Linked DNA regions of Caenorhabditis elegans. The protein of the gene in region 1 purifies or fractionates together with the protein of each later gene. This does not show direct contact. Each region holds a gene or a part of one and is shown in the gene's direction. Other genes may lie near its edges.

Region 1 (3,966 bases):
AGGATGAAAGCGCAATTATCGATTCCTCTCCGCTCCTACGCTCTCTGTGTTCAGCGCAATTGCTCTGACCAGTTTTTTTTTGTTCTATTCTCTATATCTAGAAACATTAAGCATTAATTCAACATATCATGAACCATCAAGATTTGACATAATTTTGATAATTTTCCATCAACTCAGTCGCCGACAAACAAGTTAGAGGCTCCCAACTCTGCACCTTGTGAGATGAGTCATGCAACAACTGGTCCATATCTGATTTAGTGTAACGACCACAATGCCACGATGACTAGGCTTGATTCTGCATTTGTTATTTATGGAATTCAAGACATTTTGAGATTTTTGCATTTGGTGTTCTAGCATTTATCTGACTAATTAAAATCAGAAAATGTTTTCACCTCGTTGTTTTTCAGAATTTGACTTTCCACATTTTCCAGCACCGCTTTTAAATATAAAAAAAAATAGTTTTTATTTATTTGATTGGGTCTCCTCATTTATTAGAAAAAATGTCGAAATTCTTGTTTGCGTCTTCTCAAATACATACAATAGTATTCTCAATGTTATCTCCTAATTTCGAAATCGATGGTTTCTCAATTACGAAATATTAGGAATTTTCCCACTTTCCGCGACACTATTATTTGCCTTTTTTAACCGCAATTCGATTACATTATTAGTGGTAAACAATCTTTTCTCTGAATTTCCAACGTTTTTTTTGTTTTACAAAAGAAACTATATAATAGTTGCTGTCCTCACATGATGATCAATGTTTTTTATCATTATCAATCAGAAAAGTCCCAGCTTTTCTTGACTTTTCCTTCAGAAATTATCATATCACAATTTGTTTGTTTTCTTTTTCTCTCTAACACTCTTACTCTATTCACTCAACAGTTCAATGCCGGAAATTCAAAATAACCAAATCGTTTTGACATAAACTTCAGTTCAAAGTTGACCTATCGCAAAAACAGGTCGAAAACAAAAAAAAATGGGGAACGGACCGCCAATGTTTTGAAACGGAAGGGGGGTGCGCACGCGGTCGCGTCGCGTGCCCGGTGTTTCAACGTAACTCTTGCACTTATTTACGCAGTGTGTCTCACTTGTGTGTGTGTGTGCCGTTCGTTTTTTCTCTCCCTTCCCTCCTCCCTCGCCGCATTGGAATTGCGACGGCGTCAATGCGGTCTTGCCGCTTTTCGAGACATTTTTGCTGCTGTGATGCCATGTTTTCACCATGATGTAATGCAATTTAATCCTCATGGCAAGAATGAAAAGTAGTTCAAAACGTTGCCTTTCTCGTTTTGGCAGCAGCTCTTTCTCATTTGATCCCCTCGTCGTATAAGCTAATACGCTTTTTGTTTTCAGCTGCTATATTCAGCCAACACAAAAGGCAAGAGCCTTTCCATTGACGTAAACGAGGCTTGTTTGCAACAACATCATGCATTCTAATTTCGTACATGAACTTTTCGAAAGTGCATTGAGATGAGAGTAATGATGAGAGCAAAGACATTTTCTTATAACTTCCCCTATTATTTATATGTATAGCCACTCTCATTCTTAGAAATGCTAGTGCACTTCTTTTCGTGCCCCAACAATTTATATTTTCATCCTAGAAATATAAATTCAAAATTTTGATTCTTCCTGATATTTCTTTATCTCTTTTTTTCTCTGTACTAAAAATAATAATTTTAAGGTGAAAAGATGGAGAGAGACTTCGACCTTGGCATGGGCAGACCTGGCGGGCTCGGAGGACTTGGTGGTGAACCGATCATGCAACAAATGCCACAGCCAGCGCCTCATCATCCATCCCGTAGTAGTAACGACCACAATGTGAAGAACCTCATGAAGCAGGCCGAGGAGAACTCCGGATATCTCACATTGCAAGGTAATTTGGCTAAATAAATAATCTTGAAACGGTAACAATTGATTTTTAGGTAACCGTCGTAAAGCTGACTTGAAGGAGCTTCAGTTCGTGGAAGATATTGGTCATGGAAGCTGCGGTACGGTCACAAAGTGCAGATACAAGAGTGTGATCATGGCTGTGAAGACGATGCCTCGGACGTCAAACAGTTATGAAATGTCCCGCATTTTGATGGATCTTGACGTCATCTGTCTCTCTTTCGACTGTCCGTACATTGTACGTTGCTTCGGATACTTCATCACCAACGTAAGAATTTTTATGAATTCTTTGACTTTTCCAATTATCATTTTTTTCAGTTCGACGTCCGTGTCTGCATGGAGTGCATGGCTACTTGCCTTGACCGTCTGCTTATCCGCATCAAGCAGCCAATTCCAGAGAGAATTATTGGAAAGTTGAGTGTGAGCATCATTAAAGCTCTGCACTACTTGAAAACCAAGCACGTAAGTTTATAAATCAGATGAACCATTTGGACAATATATAATCCGATTTTTTTAGCAAATCATGCACCGTGATGTGAAGCCATCAAACATTCTCCTCGACTGGAGTGGCGTCATCAAGCTTTGCGATTTCGGTATTGCTGGCAGACTGATCGAGTCTCGTGCTCATTCGAAGCAAGCCGGATGCCCTCTGTACATGGGTCCTGAGCGCCTCGACCCCAACAACTTTGACTCGTATGACATTCGCAGTGACGTGTGGTCTTTTGGTGTTACTTTGGTCGAGCTGGCAACCGGACAGTACCCATACGCCGGAACCGAATTCGACATGATGTCCAAGATTCTCAATGACGAGCCACCGCGCCTGGATCCGGTATGTGCTCTTCGTAAAAAATTCATCTAGAAAAAGCTTTTAAGAGCTACCAGTAGACATAATATATGCTTTATGGCGGCTAGAAACAGTACACAACTAGTATTTATGTATTTTACAATTTTACAGGCCAAATTCTCTCCGGACTTCTGTCAACTCGTCGAGAGCTGCCTGCAGCGTGATCCAACGATGCGTCCCAATTACGATATGCTCCTCCAGCATCCGTTTGTCGTGCATCACGAGAAAATTGAAACCGACGTCGAGGAGTGGTTTGCCGATGTGATGGGCGAGTGCGGATAATTGTCGAATTACAAACGTATTGTTATTTCCCAAATCATTTGTAAAAACTATCAATCCCATTCACTATCTCTTTCATAACATTTCCTGGTCTAGCATTCATGGTGCAAAGTTTTTCAATTTTGCTTTTTTACCTTATTTACCCTATTTACCACTTTTACCCTATTTTCACTTGTTCTCGTTCCCGTTGTCTCTATCAAAAATTCCCAACCTCTCTCACCGAATCCCTGTCTACCAAACTTGAATGTTCCGGATGTATAGTATCATTGTAGGCCTAATTGATTGTATATTTTGATTATGATATGTCTCAAAGTTAAGCCATCCACAGCTAGTCTTCTCGTCAGAGATTACTGTGGACATTAAAATTGTGATTCAAATTGTTCAACGGATATTGTTGTAATCTTATATATTTAAATACAGTCTATGGACCGTTCGTTTTTTTACAAGTTTTGAACGAAGCGTTACAGAAAGAAGTAATCAAATTCCAGATCTGTAGAAACTAGCGAGTTAACAGGTAATCGGAACTATGGTGTCTTGAACAATATTTGAAAGTATTCGAAATAGTGTACATATTTTGTGAAACTAAATACTATCAAACGATATCCTACTCAACTCTGAAATGTTCATACAGTGTATTAACACCTGCGCGACAACGCTTCACCTCTCTCATTTAAATGAATCCAAATGATTAGTCGCTGGAGATTATTAGGATATGCTACTAACGGAGCTTTTAAATAATGGCGGGTTCTCCCTACCCGCGTCACCATAGAAACCGAGCGGACTCGTGCCGGCTGGTGTTCTCCCTTCGTCCGCCTTCCGCGACTCAACTCATTTCCGTGTCTCCTCTAATATTTTCCAACGACCACATCTATATCTATTGCTTATCTCCAATAAATGTCGTTGGCAATTAAAGGTAGGTATTTTTATAGGTATTGTTTATTTGGTAGTTTAAGCAATTT
Region 2 (6,578 bases), on another chromosome or scaffold:
TTTATTGAAGAGAATTTCAAAAAGTCAAATTCATCATTTATATATTATATACTAATGTAAGGTGAGAAATTGTCTAAGGAACCATAGGAATGTTTCCTTCCTCATCGCAATTTCTCATTTCATGAGTTTACTACTTTCCTGCAAAAAGATAACATGTATCTTAGGAACTAATTTTTATTTCAATTTATTTATTCGAATCGCAGAAATTTCCGGCAATTTTGGCTATTGCCGATATTACAGAAACTAAATTTGCAAAAGTTATCAGTTATCGGTAATTCTAAGCCTAAGCTTAAACCTAAAACTAAGCCTAAGCTTAAGCCTAATCCTGAGCCTAAGCCTAAACCTAGTAAATAATTTTACCTCTAGTTTCACTATGTATCATTTCAATTCAATAACATGCAAAAAAGTAAATGGACAAACTCCACTAAATTCAGAAAACCTTTGCTTCTGGTAAATACTCTTTAGGCAGCAGGTGATTTTAATTGTCTATAGGTGTTATAACTCCACAATAAATTCTTTTAACAAGTTATTATATATTTTTATTTCCAGCTCCCACTATGAATGTTGACTTTAAAGACCCTGTATGGCTAATCAATAGTTACAATTTTGTTGGTATTTTTTCTATATCAATAAATACGGCGACTATTTTTTTTGATTATTTTCAAAAGCGAGAAGATGGAGAGTATGAAGTATCATATTCTGGCGTTTCAGGTGATCTCCTTTAAATGTGGAGTATCGAAATCTGGAAAATATTTTTAATTGACTCCAAATTTTCCGCTGATTCCGAATCTCGATGTGAAAAAAATCAAAAATTCAAAAAAATCTGATAGATTTGGATTCTAGATTTTTTAAAAATATTATAGATGAGTTTTTGGGACAGGAAAGTAAATTTAAGCCGCGCTAGAGAGGTTTTTGTGTCGAGTTCCAATTTTCACAGGTATATGTAGGCGCAAAAAAACAAAAATAAAAATTATGGAATTCCGGAAGAATTGAAGTAAATTTAAGCCGCGCTAGAGAGGTTTTTGTGTCGAGTTCCAATTTTCACAGGTATATGTAGGCGCAAAAAAACAAAAATAAAAATTATGGAATTCCGGAAGAATTGAAGTAAATTTAAGCCGCGCTAGAGAGGTTTTTGTGTCGAGTTCCAATTTTCACAGGTATATGTAGGCGCAAAAAAACAAAAATAAAAATTATGGAATTCCAGAAGAATTGAACTCATCCCACCCCTCCCACTCCCACTCCCCAGTCGAAGCAGTTACCGACTGATCCAGGGAGGATGAGGGAAGCCTAGCTCCTCGGTGTGTGTGACTTTTCCGACCTAGATTTACAAATTAAAATCAAAACGGTTCACGGAAAAAAGTAATGACTGTTGAAAAACTGCTTATTTTATTGCATTTGTTCAATTTATTAAATTTTCCAATTTCCCGGTTGCCAAAAAATCAATAAAATTCAATTTTCAGAAAACCAATAAAATTATATTTCTCATCAAAATTCAAATTTCTATGACGTCGCCAGAATTAAATTTCTAGGTCACCGGTGACGTCTTCAGGCATAGTTTAAGTTTTCTAGGCCACCAGTGGCGTCATTTATTTCCCCAGGTATAATTTGAAACTTCTAGGCCACCGGTCACATCATTAATTTGTCTTCCACGGTCAAAATATTTCTCTTCCAGAACTAAAATAAGATTTCTAGTCCACCAATGACGTCATATCTTCTCCAAAAAAGCTATCAAGGTTTCCTAGACCATTAGTGACGTAATAAGTAGGCAATGATATTTCTAGGCCACGGCCCCCCCCCCCCCCCTCTGATCAAAAAACAAAGTTATGAGTCAACTTAACTTATTAGAATGCTGACTCACCCAGTCAACACCAATCTAATCTTTCCCTGTCTCCTCCCTACCACTGCCTGCGCCTCTCCGTCTCGCGCGCTCTCTCTCCCACTCCGCTCACCGCCTGCGTCTCCGTTTCTCTCCCGGTCATTCCTCATTCACTCAATCTTGCAAAATTTCGGTTGTAACGAATTTCGAGTTAGATTTTTTCTAAAAATAATCAAAAATTCCGTCGAAAAATCAACTTGCGGCGATGCTCAACGTGGAGCCCTCATTTGCAGAGGAGCTGCGGAGCAGCGGGGTTTCTCTGTCGGCTACTGTGAGTTTTTTATTAGTTTTTTCCCCGAAAATATAAAATTGTCTTTCAGTACCTCGGAAGTGTTCCAGTAGTCGAGTCAATTAACGTGATGGTTTCCGAGATGAGAGTTCAAGTTGTTTCGTTAGTTTTTCTTATGGCTTAAAATCAAAAAAAAATCTTATTCAAAAATTTAGAAATCAGGCGGTAGGCAGGCATGAAGGCAGGTAACATCTGCAAGCTCAAATATATAAAAAATCTACGTAATAAAGTAACTGTTCAATTTTCAGAGAATGTATACAACACGTTGCAGCTACTGTTGGCGTGACTGCGGCTCGAGAAATCAATCCAGTTGTTAGTAGGGTGAGTTTTTTTTTGTGAATTAAAAAAACAAAAGAAAATAAAATAAAAAACTTGCCATTTTCTGGGCATGGCTAATGGTAAAAATTTACAAAACATTTTCTCATTAATTTGATATTAAGTGTTACCAAAAATGCATGACCAGCTTTGCAAAATGTTTAAAAAAAAGGACCCGTGAAATGTCGGCCGCGCTACGATATCATCAAGAATTATTTCAAATTAACAAGCTGTCCAAATTAATGACTAAAAAATTATAGCAACCGACATCTCACAGGTTATTAGAGAAAGGTTACATGGTGCATCGACTGGAAATATCTGACTCAACTTTGACTACTTATATCTCTGCTGGTTTTGGTTTTTTTTTGAAAAAGTGTCAATTGACAAAATATTTATCGTTTTTTCTACTACAACTTTGCATTTTAACACTTTTTGATAGCAGCGAAATAAACTGAGATAATTACATGGTGCATCGACATGCTCAAATTTTGATAGCTTATATATCCAGTAAAATTCAGCCAAAAGCCTGCCACTATAGAATGTACTAAAGCAACCGACATCTTACAGGTCGATCAAAAATCGCGCTAAATGATGTCAGCCGCTATTCATAGAAAAGTTATTATCACTAATTTCGACTAAAATTATTGCAGCCGACACTTCACGGGTCGATGAAAAAGCCCAGGTAAACCATCCTTATTTTCAGGTAATCGGTGAAGTGAAAAAAGAAAACTTCCCCGTAGACATCAACATTTCCTCGAAAATGATCAAAATCATAAAACAAAGTCGTCTAATTCAACGTCATCCCTTCTCATTCTTCTCATTCGGAGCCCAAGGCCAAAAGGGTACGGACACGGAGCTAATGTTCGGCTACATTGCAAAAAACAAGGATGGAACGGATCGTCGATGCCACGTGGTGTTCATCGAGGATGTGCACAAGCTCATCGACGTCCTTACCACTGCGATCAATGTGAACACTTTTGATGCACAGGCGAATGCTTCAACTTCTAACGATGGATTTACGGTGCCGGCGCCGCCGATGAGACATCGAAGTTCCCTGCATCGACAGTCATTTGTGTCGAATTGCCGAGCACCTACTGTAACTGAGGATGTTGTGGGGAAAGTTTGGTATCATGGAAATTTATCCAGAGAGGATGCACAGGCTTTGTTGAAGACGGAAGGCGATTTTTTGGTTCGGTAAGGTTTTTTAGATTTTTTATAGAAAAAAGCTAGAATTTTGCTGAATTTCTAAAACGTTTGGCTTCATGCTCACTAGGTTCACACCAGGGGCGCGTGGGAATCGGAAATTTTCGGCAATTGCCAAAATTCCAACTGAATGCCGACATTTTCGGCAATTTTCAAACCTAATTATAATTCGAAAATTGAAAAAAAAGTTAACTGTGTTTTCAGTATTCGATTAGTCATTTTTAAAAGCAAACGGTCAATACTTAAAAAATTAAAAAATGTTTAGGCTCCTAAATCTACAAAAAAATATCAAATCTATATTTTCGGCAATTCGGGCAAAATTTGATTTTCGAAGAAAAAGGCTAATGTTTTAATAATTGGCAATTTTTTGGTAAAACCTGAGATAAGTAAAATATGAGCTATGATAGCTGATCAATGCATCATGTCTTCCATGTAACTTTTTCCAATCATATCTCGGTTTATATCGCTGCTAGCAAAAAGTGTTCATCTGCAAAGTTGTAGAAGAAAAAAGGATAAATATTTTGTCAATTAACAATTTTTCAATAAAACCACAACCAGCCGAGATATAACCTGCCAAAGTTTTGTGAGATATTTCTTGTCGATGCACCATGTTTCTCATGTAACTTTTTCCAATCATATCTCAGTTTATATCGCTGCTAGCAAAAAGTGTTGAACTGCAAAGTTGTAGTAGAAAAAAGGATAAACATTTTGTTAATTAACAATTTTTTAATAAAACCACAACCAGCCGAGATATAACCTGCCAAAGTTTTGTGAGATATTTCTTGTCGATGCACCATGTTTCTCATGTAACTTTTTCCGCTAATATCTCGGTTAATATCGCTGCTAGCAAAAAGTGTTCAACTGCAAACTTTTAGTAGAAAAAGTGATAAATATTTCGTCAATTGAAATTTTTTAAATAAAACCAAAACCAGCCGAGATATAAACTGCCAAAGTTGCGTGAGCCGGTCAATGCACCTTTCTTTAACAACCTGCGAGATGTCGGTCGCTATAATTTTTTACTAATAGTAAATCGGATAGCTTTTTAATATAAGCCTATTTTAACAGACTTCGTAGAAAAATCTGAAAGTCTAAAAAAATCAAATTTGACTGAAAAAATAGTATGAAAAATCCTTTTTTTATATATTTCTGACTTAAAGCTTCAGTCACATTTCATATCTGTAATTTGTTTGATAATATGTTCAGAAGCCACGGGACTTTAAATAATTCTTGAAAGACCAGGGAAAAATTTGGTATAATAAGTTCATCCTCCCAAAATTTTTTTAGATTTTTGTTTTAGGCTGAAATTTTTGTTCAAAAAAAATTCTGCGTTTTTTTTCCTGAAATACAAAAGATGCAAGGTTTGCATGATGCTAAGATTGTCTGAAGCAGCGGACACCTCACAGTCCCCCTTCTCTAAAAAAAGACCCGCAAGCTGTCGGCCGCTCAAACTTGTCCAGTTCCTTGCAGACAAAGCGACCACACGCCCGGCAAGTACGTGCTGAGTGGCCGAACCGCTGAAAACGAGCACAAACATCTCATCCTACTGGACAATCACAACGTAAGACCCTCCCCCCCCCCCCCCGCCAAACCTTCAAACCTCTCAAAATTCCAGAGAGTCCGAACCCGCGATCGCACGTTCAGCAACATCTCCGAGCTCATCGACTATCATGTGAACAATGGGATGGCCGTAAGATCAGAGGGTCGGGATCGCGAGACGTCGTTGAATCTGATCCGACCTGTGCCGTGCCCCGGAAGTGATGATATCGAATAGAGTCGGAATTTGTTTCCTATTTTTTTTTCGATTTCTAGCAGAAATTGAAAGTCGAGTAGCAAATTGCGTAAGACTTTTTCCTCTTCTCGTCGCCCCCCCCCCCTCTTTCATATAATTAGGTAGTTGTCCTTCTACCGTAACATGTCATTACTATCCTCTTTCTTTCCTTCTTTTTTTTGCGATTCTCCTCCTCGGCCACGCTCCAATTATACCCCCCACCCACCTGTATTCTTACGCCACCACCCCAACCAGCGCACACATCTTTTTGTATTCATTTTTCCATATATATTTGTATTATTACTACTATTACCCTCACTACTGTTATCGATTTTTCCCTCCACAAATTTATGATTCTGCACTGGATCATTTGGTCGGTGGTTGTGGTGCTGCCACCGCTGATTCGATCGGTGGCCATTGTGGACACTTCTATTGCGTGTGATAAGGTAGGGATGGCCTAGAAAAGTCACCTAGTCCAACACTCCCACCCCGTATCTATGTTTCTGCCATCTTGTGATATTTGCTCCATACCATATACCCTGCCCATTTCTGTCCTACTTTCATATCCTGAAAAAATGAAGTATTTGAGAATCGAGTTTTGAAAATATTAGTGGTGGCCTAGAAATTTTAGGCTTGGGTTTAGGCTTAGGCTTAGGCTTAGGCTTAGGTTCAAGCTTAGGCGTAGGCTTAGGATTGGGCTTAATCATGGGTTTAGGCTTAGGCTTAGGCTTTGGCTTAAGCCGAGACTTAGGTTTGGCGTCAGTGGCGAGCGTTAGCTTGCTACTGACGCTATTTAGGCTTAGGATTTTCCGGTTTTTTTTAGGCTTAGGCTTAGGCTTGAGCTTAGGCTTAGGCTTAGGCTTTGGTTTGGGCTTAGGCGTAGGCTTAGGCTGAACCTTAGGCTTAAGCTTAGACATTGGATTAGGCTCAGGCTTAGGCTTTTTGGAAGATGTGTGGAGCCAATAAAAAGTTGCATGGAAAAAATATGACGTCACAAATGACCTAAAATGTTTCATTGTTTTTGGCAAAAACACAATAGTTTAGAAATTTGGCTGCAAGAAGTTCCTCGGCCTAGAAACTCTCTTAAACTCTCGAAAAAGCGAATTTGAAGGGCATTTAATGGAAGA

What was found. Proteins that work in one complex are often made in the same cells at the same time.
Region 2: the proteins of mek-1 (region 1) and shc-1 purify together in Caenorhabditis elegans (affinity purification with western blotting; 2 studies listed by BioGRID). This does not show direct contact.

The regions. Positions count from the first base shown.
Region 1 is NC_003284.9:7,477,570-7,481,535, forward strand, and holds mek-1 (Dual specificity mitogen-activated protein kinase kinase mek-1), read left to right. Parts: upstream 1-1,678; 5' UTR 1,679-1,686; coding exon 1,687-1,870; intron 1,871-1,919; coding exon 1,920-2,152; intron 2,153-2,202; coding exon 2,203-2,346; intron 2,347-2,401; coding exon 2,402-2,713; exon of another isoform or gene 2,714-2,839; coding exon 2,840-3,010; 3' UTR 3,011-3,436; downstream 3,437-3,966. Other genes in the region: F48E3.9 (Trichohyalin), read left to right, coding at 3,902-3,920. UniProt on the Caenorhabditis elegans protein: Dual specificity protein kinase which may phosphorylate kgb-1 and thereby is an essential component of the JNK pathway composed of mlk-1, mek-1 and kgb-1. May also have a synergistic role with sek-1 in phosphorylating pmk-1.
Region 2 is NC_003279.8:968,556-975,133, reverse strand, and holds shc-1 (SHC-transforming protein homolog 1), read left to right. Parts: upstream 1-2,000; 5' UTR 2,001-2,081; coding exon 2,082-2,147; intron 2,148-2,196; coding exon 2,197-2,267; exon of another isoform or gene 2,268-2,413; coding exon 2,414-2,486; intron 2,487-3,047; exon of another isoform or gene 3,048-3,183; coding exon 3,184-3,674; intron 3,675-5,150; coding exon 5,151-5,241; intron 5,242-5,295; coding exon 5,296-5,454; 3' UTR 5,455-5,801; coding exon of another isoform or gene 5,802-5,897; 3' UTR 5,898-6,046; downstream 6,047-6,578. Other genes in the region: cutl-20 (ZP domain-containing protein), read left to right, coding at 5,802-5,897. UniProt on the Caenorhabditis elegans protein: Scaffold protein which plays an important role in the activation of the JNK pathway composed of mlk-1, mek-1 and kgb-1; by bringing together mek-1 and mlk-1, promotes mlk-1-mediated phosphorylation and activation of mek-1 which in turn phosphorylates kgb-1.